Caenorhabditis elegans: one gene and its partner. The protein of the gene in region 1 purifies or fractionates together with the protein of each later gene. This does not show direct contact. Each region holds a gene or a part of one and is shown on either strand. Other genes may lie near its edges.

Region 1 (4,872 bases):
TCTATATTAGTTTTACCAATTATAAATTTATTCCAGCACAAAATGCTTCGCGAACGACTGGAAGCTGTTGAGAAACGTACTGCTGCAAAATCACTTGACATGAGCTTGAGGAAGACTGAAATTGACTACGAAGATATTAAAACAGAGGTGTGGATTTTTTCCTAATCGAGTTAACAATATTTTACTTAATTTCAGAGCATTCGACTTCAGGAAGAATACAATAACATGCTTTTGACCAATCCATTTCAAAGATTCACCTGATTTATTAATTTTTCACTAAATTTATTTATTAAATTTACATTGAATATGCTGAACTGTTCCTGAAACAGCAAAAAAATTATTGGAAAATACTAATTAAAAAATTGAAAAATCTTTGCCTACAGTAGCTTTAAGGAACACGACAAACTTTATCTGAACATGTCTCGTCACGACTACCGTACCTTGAAATTTTCCCGCCCGATTTTCGCAATTTTCTTGCTGATGAATTTCTTTGTTTCTTTCCTGATTTTCTCGATTTTTAATCGTGTTTTTGTTTTTAGAATTTTTGGAAATTTGAGGAGAAGATATATATCAAGTATGAAGCACCCTTTCCGCAAGGTCGCCGTAGTTCCTTTTTTGTTTCCGTCGTTTTACCCTTTTCGGCGATCTTTTTGATTGATAACGTTTAAGTAAGGCTAGTTTTAAATTGAGTTTTCTCAATTTTTCTTCAATTATAACATTTCCATCATTTTTGCAGTCAAATAATATTGTAATTCTATTTAAAATATCGTTTGATTATATTTTGAGAACCTTTATTGATTGACTGTTAAATATAACGAATATATTCAACAGCTTAAACAAACAAATAAAATAAGTTCTATCTGCGCGAAAAGCTACAAAGGATACGAAGAAAAGTCAAGAAATCAATTCAAAAATTATGCCTAATTTTACATAGCCTTTTTTTTTGCTTGATAACGATATATTCACAACATTTTCTGGCTAAAGAAAGGTGGAAACGTTTTGTTGTTCTTCCAAGTTGTAGCTCGGGGGGCCGAAAAAAGTAGGCGCGATGCGGTCGACCGCGACGCAACTCATTTCTCTGCTTCTCTTTATTTCAGTAATCTTTGTTTCGTGGCGTGGTCTCGAGAAATAAATAGACGCAGGGTGTGGTGAGAAAATTGTCCGCAACCACCGCCCGGCAGCTAGATATTGAACCAATATCTCACGATAAACTTTTACCCTTTGCATACATGCTAAAATGAGAATTAAGAATACAGTTTTTATAGTAATCTGAACTTTTCGTTTTTTAAATGCCTGATAAGATTAGTTACTCGGGCTTCTGCCACGTAACATTCGTCTCTGCGTATCTCATCTTTGAACAAGCAATTTTCGTTGGCCGAGGTTTTGCGCTGCGGTCAAAACTAGGCCTTTGACGAGTTACACAAGTTGAATCCTAAACATTTTCAATCTGATCATGATAGAAACTTCTCGAATAAGCCTTTTGTCTTTTTTTAATCTCATTTTTGAAAAAAGGATATTGAAGTATGCGTTTCAATTATATTTCGTTTTACAGAACTACTCAAAATGTCGTCAGTTTCGTCCGCCGAGCCAACTGCTCAACAAAATTTCAATCCAAGCTGGTATGTGTTTGAATCTTAAAAAATAATTATTATTTAAAATTAAATGGAGTTTTTTCCAAGTAATCTAAGATATTTTTCATTTTTAACCTCTAGTTTTGAATCATAGAGCAAATGATTTTTAAATGCGTTCTTTTCAACTAAGAAGTTTATCGCTCGTATTTTTTTGTTAAAAAGGCTCTACTCGATCGTGTTTGTAGCAATATTAAAAGAAAAATAAAATAAATAATGCCGAAAACCAAAATAAAACCCAAATTCTCAAACTTGTACCTTTTTTACCACAAATTTGCTGACTGCAGCTGAAAAAATGAATAATATGAATTCCAGAATATAAAAGTTAGCAAAATCAATTAGAAATCCAAGCCACAAGTTCTTTCTTAAAATTGCGTTAAAGTCATTTCAGGATGCGTCCAAATGCTGCTAACCGTGGTGGCTCAATTTCTTCGGGAAACAATCGTTCCTCTGGATTTGGTGGGGGTGGATTTGACGATGGCGGCGATGTGAGTTTCAGAATCTACGGGAAAAAACCAGCACGTTCCACAAATATATTCTTAGCACATCTCATAATCTAGAAATTTAGAAAAAAAAGGAAAATAATTTATTTACAATTTTGTGTTTATTGGGTCATGGTCCCCGTGGTACCCGGTTTTAATATTATAATCGTCTGTCACAACATTACATCAAAAACTAAATAATTATGAATTTAGATTTTAGAATATACCTCTCAAAGTCGGGCTATCACTGACTCCCTCCCTCCATGACAAAAAACTCTTATTTTTAAAAAAAACTGAAAATGTGTTCAATTAGGAAATCTCCTCTTCGGCAATCGCTGCTGCAGCCGCCGCGGTCCTCTCTTCGCCAGTGGTTTCGGAATTCTCGTACACGCGCGAACGTCTTCTCGAGCTGGCTCCAACCGGATCGATTATGCCTGATGCGTTGCGCGATCAGCTATTTTTCAACGAGAAGAACCTGCCGCTCGTCTCGAACACGCCTCTCAGTGAACATGAACAGGTAGGGATACCACAAGAGTTTTAGAATTAGAAATAATGAAATTTATCCCACTATTGTCTGACGATTTCCAATTTTGCATGGTACTTTTTTGATAATTGACAGATTTGTTTAGGATCTATGTTTAGGATCTATATTTTATTATTCGTGTGCACATTGTATTCTAGAATTTGATGTGAACTTCTATTTTATCCAGTTTCACTGACTCTTTCGTCTAAACAAGAAAAGTATAGTGTGTCCTTGGAGGGAGGAAGGCATAGCGAGACTTTATGAGGCTCTTTGCTGTTCGTATCCCACCATTTCACTTTCCTAATGATCGGAGTAATTTGTGTTATCGAATAAGTTTATTTGTTAAACACTTTTAAGTTGAAAATGCTTAGTTTTTTCGTTTCATGTTTATGTTCCGTGGTAGAGTAGTTATTCTCTAATAAAATTTCTAACAAATCCTATTCATGAAAATTATATATTTCATTTTCAGAAACTGCAACACAACATAAACTCTTCGAAAGCAATGTCTCTTTTATCGCACGCTGATCGAGCCTCAATTGCTGCTGGAGCTGCTTATGGAAGTGGATATGGAGCCGCTTCCGGAGCACTTCAAAACGGACAATCACCAACCAGTCGCTGGGCTCCGAAATCATCTTGGAGTAAGTGTTGCGAATTTTTGTAATTAGACTTTGATACATAAAAAATAAAAACAATCTAAACAATATTGTTTAGATAAAGGCACACCGGATCGTGGCACCGGTACAACTCCTCGTGGTGGTGGATCTGTTGGTCGAGCAAGTGGAGCATTCTTTGCAGGCCGTGGTGGCGGACGAATCGGCGGAGAAAACGGGTTTGGCGGCGCGACCAATGGTGGCTCGCCAGCTGCTCAAAACGAAGATTCTCCTGGAACATATCAATCAAAGTTCAATGCACTTCGTCGTGGCGGTGGCGCGGGAAGCGTCGGTCGTGGTGGCAGCACGACGGGTTCAGCTTTTAACACTAGAGCTGACGCTTTGTACAACCCGAACGATCCAACTGGTAAGTTTTAAGGAAATTTTCTGATTGAAAATATGATCGGTATAGATCGTCCAAAGGCGGTGAATCCTGCTGCAACTCGAAGCGAGAGCGATGAAGAAGAGGAGGAAGGATGGTCGAAAGTTGGAAGTACATCTCGAACCTCCACCAATGCGGCCCCTCAATCATCTGAACGTCCTGCTTGGGCTCGTTCTGAATCTTGGATTCAACGTACACAGCAACAACAGCAACAACAACAGCAGCAATCGACTCAGCAGCAAGCACAACCTCCAATTACTCTGTGGAATAATCGAGAAGTTGGTTCTGATTCAACTGTTTGGAAAGATCGGAATCACATGGTTGCTGCGGTTAGAAAGGCATCCACAGAAAATCATCCACCACAACAACAACAGCAACAACAACAACGTTCATCTGCTCCAGTTTCTGCTCCTTCTCGGCAAGAGAGTGAATCAACGGATGTTCCGAATCTTCCTATTCCTACATATCCTTCTGATCCATCAGCGTGGTCTAATAATTCGATGGGAGGTGGTATTTTCTATCAACCAACGCCACAGCCACCAGCTCCGATTGTAAAAGAAGAACCTGTTCAGTTTTACTACATGGATCCAACAGAAACTCGTCGTGGTCCTTTCCCTAAAGATCAAATGAATGTATGGTTCAAAGCGGGTTATTTTACGGATGAATCACTTCGAGTTCAGAGAGGCGAAAACGGAGAATATAAAACGATCGGTAAGTTTATCATATTTTTGCTTTAAAAAAATAATTAATTTTCCAGGTGACCTCAAAAAATTGCATGGATCCTCGACGCCATTTGAATATTTGGAAGATATTGAGCCTCCACGCCCAATTTTGCCGTCGATCCCTTACCCGTCCGCGACGAATCCTTTGTATCCAGCTGCATTTGGTGGAGTGAACATGTGGTCAAGCATGGGTCAACCTACTGATGTATATATGATGCAGACAAATTTTGAACAGCAGCTGGTAGCCGAGCGCAACAGACTTCTCGATGATCACAACAGACGCCTCGCCGAAGAGGCCGAAAAAATGGCCAAATTTCAAGAAGCTATGTACCGTCAACTGACAATGCAGCATGAGCAACGTGTGAGAGAACAGGAACTTCTTTTGCAAAAACGTGCGGAAGAAATCGAAAAACGTGAGGCTGAATCGAAGAGAGAAGAAGCCGCGCGTCTCCAGAAGTTGGAGCAAGAAGCACGTGAAATCGAAG
Region 2 (4,034 bases), on another chromosome or scaffold:
TGTTCCGTACTTTTGAAAAAAAACTACGCATAAACTTATAAAATCTTAATAGAGAAAATGTTATTGGAATATACATATTCTGCAATCTTTAGTTTTCGAGTTATACAGTTTTCGAGTTATACGATTTTAACAACTCAAGTGAATCAAAACCGAAAGAGAACAAAATGTCGGTAATTCAGGTCGCAATGCGACCTAGGTCGCTAGGTCGCAGGTCGCTAGGTCGCAGGTCGCAATGCGACCTAGGTCGCGATGCGACCTAACCCTCTAGGTCGCAGGTCGACCTAGGTCGACCTATAGCCACCCCTAATTCTAATATATCAGGAGATGTTTAAAAATAGTTCATGACTGCCAGATAAACACACAATTTTCAAAGCAATGTATCCGTTTTGTTGTTGTCAACTTAGGTATTAGTGCATGCGTGGTTGTAATAAGCACAAAGCTGAAATATCTAATTTTAGGAAAAGCACGTAAACTTTCTTGTTTTATCATTATCAAGTTTCACTGTAAAGTTTTTTATTATTTTCAAGTTGTCTATGGTGGAGAAATAAAAAGGTTATAGTTGAAACTTTATTGTCTTATCAGTAGTCAAAAAATTTTTGAAAACCCTCACTTTTCTGAGGTGTATTTTCTATTTTTCCAGAAGTCATATCAAACATAATACAGTAGGGTTCTAGCAAACTTTAGTGAACATTCATTGTTTGAGTGGTCTTTCCAGTTGCAACAAATACTACGTATTTAGATAAATATCAAAAAATTATAAAACCTAGCTACTGTACCAGCCAAAAATTAGCTAAAATGATGATTTTATCTTTAAAAAAAATTCAAACTAGTGTTTTAACCAGCAACAGTGTAAACCTTTATAGAAGTATATGTGATTCGTCGTCAAAAATGCAAGGCAATCGTTTTTTTCAAGTTTTTTTAATGATAATGCTGAAATCTTGAAAGTTTGCTGAAATGTACTAAAAACTGAGTACTACTTTGTATTTATCTGGCTGTAACTGTTTGTGAGCTGCAATTACTTTAATACAAACCAACATTTTTATAGCGCTTTTTCAGAGCAAAATACATGGCGTAAAAAACAAGTATGTACATGTGTTTTGTTTGTAACTTTTCTTTTGTTGCTTGGTAAAGATGTCAATTTAATATTGTTATTGAATATCACAATATAATGTAGGCAATCTGCTACTTCAAACATTTGAGACAGCAAGACACGCAGGCATCTCGACAAAACGGCGCTGCTGGGCAGAACAGGCCGGCCAGTGTCGGCAGTGGAAGAGGGCGACGGCGACCGTCCGTCTTTTGGCCGCATGTTCTCCCCCATTTTTCCTCTCCCTTGCAAACACTTTTTATTCTCTTTCTACGGTTTGCAATTCTGCCAATTCTGCAGTGTTTCGGCGAAATGAATTTTCTTAGTTTAAACTGGGAAACTATTAAGCGGCAGTGTGATAGGCTTGGTTGCCACAAAAAAGTTACTCGTTTTGTTTTGCAAATTTACAAAATTTTTAACAAGTTGCTAAATTCCTTTTTTAAGTCTTTTTTAAATATACAATTCCAATGCAAAAAAATATCCCAATGCGTCACATGTTCTATATTTTCCTTCATCACTCCTCGTCTTGCATGTTTTTCAAATACAACTGTTATGTGAATACCCTTTCTGAAAGAAAATTATTATTTACGCCCAACGTTCTTTCAGTTGACTTAACATCACTCAATAGTTTCCTTTTTCAGTTACTTGGGTATACTCATAATGGAAGAACCCCACCCAGCACCAAGGAATGATCGAGATGCGGAAGGTGAAGAGGCTAGGCACGCTTTAAGGATGGAGAGACAACTTGCAATTCGTGAGGGACGTTATCTGCCTCCACTCCCACAACTTCCACCATTGATCCAGCTGATTCCTGTGCACCGCGCTCAGGCGAACGAAGCTGTCGATAGAGCCATTGAATTTCAGCTAAACCAGAGGCGGCAGTTTTTGCTGCAACACCTTCGACCTGAGCATTTTCAGCCTGGTGGATTCTTTGATCCGCAGCCAGAGGGAAACTATCATCCTTTGTCTCCACAACATAGTGACGAAGAGCTTGATGACGCGGAAGAGGAGATTGAGAGACAGCGACGAATCCGCCAAAACTGGAGAAACTACATGAACCAGAGAGTTGATCCCATTCCACAAGAGATCGTTGACCGCTTGCTCCGGGAATACGACAATTGGGCAAGAGCCGCGTTAAACAATAACAATGGAAATTTTCGAAACTACAATGCGATGCTCTCCCCATCACCATCTCCATCACCAAATGCATCACCAGCACCGTCAGACGACGAAGATCCGATGGAGCACGTGAATTCTGATGATGAAGATGTCGAGATGCTTAATGCTCAAATGATGGAAATGCGTCCCAATCAGCCGAGACCAAGAAAGCGTCATAATTCTCAAGGACCATTACCGATCAAAAGGAAAAGAGTCACTTTCAAGGAGGACTCTTCAGATGAGGTTCGGAATTTTTCGGGCTTTTGAAATTTTTTGCAAAACACCCAAAAAATTTTACAATATAATCATACAAAATTCAAAATTTCAGGCCATCAACTCATTCGATGAGGACAGCTCCGATTGCAATGACAATGTTCCAGTCAACCGTAAACGTGAGGAATAAACATAATTAATTCAGCGAGTCAGCTAATGTCAAAATGTTTAGAATATGACGACGACGACGAGGGATTTTTCGGAGGACCCCCGGCACGCCACAACTCCTTTGTTGCATAGAAGTAAATCTCAAATTAACCAACTTTTCTTCAACACACTTTTACCAATTTTTCTAACGAGAAACTACCGGTTCCCCGGTGGCACCGTACGCCATTTTCTGTGAATGTTTTTTTTCAAACCCCGTTTTTCTTTCTTTCTTTCCATTTCTGTCCGACTCATTTCCGCCACATTTCCTCGCCAATCCACTTCCCCGCACCACTTGGGATCTCGTTTCATTTTCATGACTGTTCTTCTGGAAATTTAATCACAAAGTCCAAAACTCATTTCTCATCCTGTTTTATACTCTCAATTTACTTTTTGAATTAACATTATCGTCATTAATTTTAATTGGGAATTTTGAACATAATACAATTTTATGTGAAATTACAACCTAAAACATAAATATCACAGAAAAATACATAAAGATTGGAATGTATGTGAAACTGTAACTAGTAAAATTGTTCAATATGATCGATGGGTTTCTGAGTGATGTAGGACAGATAACAATTCCAGAAGAATGCGACGACCTGAAAAATTAATTGAAAAAATAAACTGATTGATGTGTTTCGTTTCAATGGCGTGATAAACTGTCTAATAAAAATTGAACCTTTTAAACAGTTGTATTTTGGTTATGATTTATTCTTCAAACTTTGGTCAAAATGTACCTGGTTAAGTATTACTCGATAATTGAGTGGAACAAAGCACAAATTCACAACTTGAACAAATGGCCAAACCTGGAATAGTATTTTTGTACGACATAAATTTTTGAGTGCTTGGCAATAATAAAAAATGATTTGGAAGTTAGTTAGGTTTCACGCTGACGTGGCGCATGTTTTCTGTCAAAAATTCACTTTTATTGTAATTTTCATTACGTGTAAATTGCTTCTAAATCAGAAAACTTCTTAATAAAGCTTTGCTGATCGAGATAATGTTTTGAAATTATATATGTATTACTTCACAAAATAAGCAATTCTACTACAATCAACCTTATTTTTCACATAATTTTTAACAGTTAGAGGCCTTTAAATGTTTATAATACAAGTTGAAAAACAGTTTTCAGCAATATGGTGATGATGCTATTGATACTTTATTTTTATTCGAACTATTTCTCCTCAGCATCAGTTTTTGTTCGTCTTCCTCCAAATCTATGTTGATCCAATCCTCATTTTGTGAATATCAATGCATCCTCTTTTTATTGTGCACTCTTTCAATTTCGGGATAAAGCTCTGCTCTTTTGGCGAGGACGAGTCGCAAATGCGACACTCGCGCACACGACGACGAATCGCACCAGCGATTC

What was found.
Region 2: the proteins of gyf-1 (region 1) and T18D3.6 fractionate together in Caenorhabditis elegans (co-fractionation; one large-scale study listed by BioGRID). This does not show direct contact.

What each region holds. Positions count from the first base shown.
Region 1 is NC_003280.10:6,682,686-6,687,557, forward strand, and holds the start of gyf-1 (GYF domain-containing protein gyf-1), read left to right. Parts: upstream 1-1,552; 5' UTR 1,553-1,563; coding exon 1,564-1,619; intron 1,620-2,010; coding exon 2,011-2,116; intron 2,117-2,423; coding exon 2,424-2,627; intron 2,628-2,847; exon of another isoform or gene 2,848-2,996; intron 2,997-3,102; coding exon 3,103-3,271; intron 3,272-3,344; coding exon 3,345-3,650; intron 3,651-3,695; coding exon 3,696-4,376; intron 4,377-4,422; coding exon 4,423-4,872. Other genes in the region: ift-74 (Intraflagellar transport protein 74 homolog), read left to right, coding at 37-147, 196-261.
Region 2 is NC_003284.9:12,448,170-12,452,203, forward strand, and holds T18D3.6 (uncharacterized protein), read left to right. Parts: upstream 1-1,722; 5' UTR 1,723-1,747; coding exon 1,748-2,488; intron 2,489-2,573; coding exon 2,574-2,637; intron 2,638-2,690; coding exon 2,691-2,758; 3' UTR 2,759-3,186; coding exon of another isoform or gene 3,187-3,264; 3' UTR 3,265-3,274; downstream 3,275-4,034. Other genes in the region: T18D3.9 (Mitochondrial inner membrane protein Mpv17), read right to left, coding at 3,187-3,264, 3,403-3,471.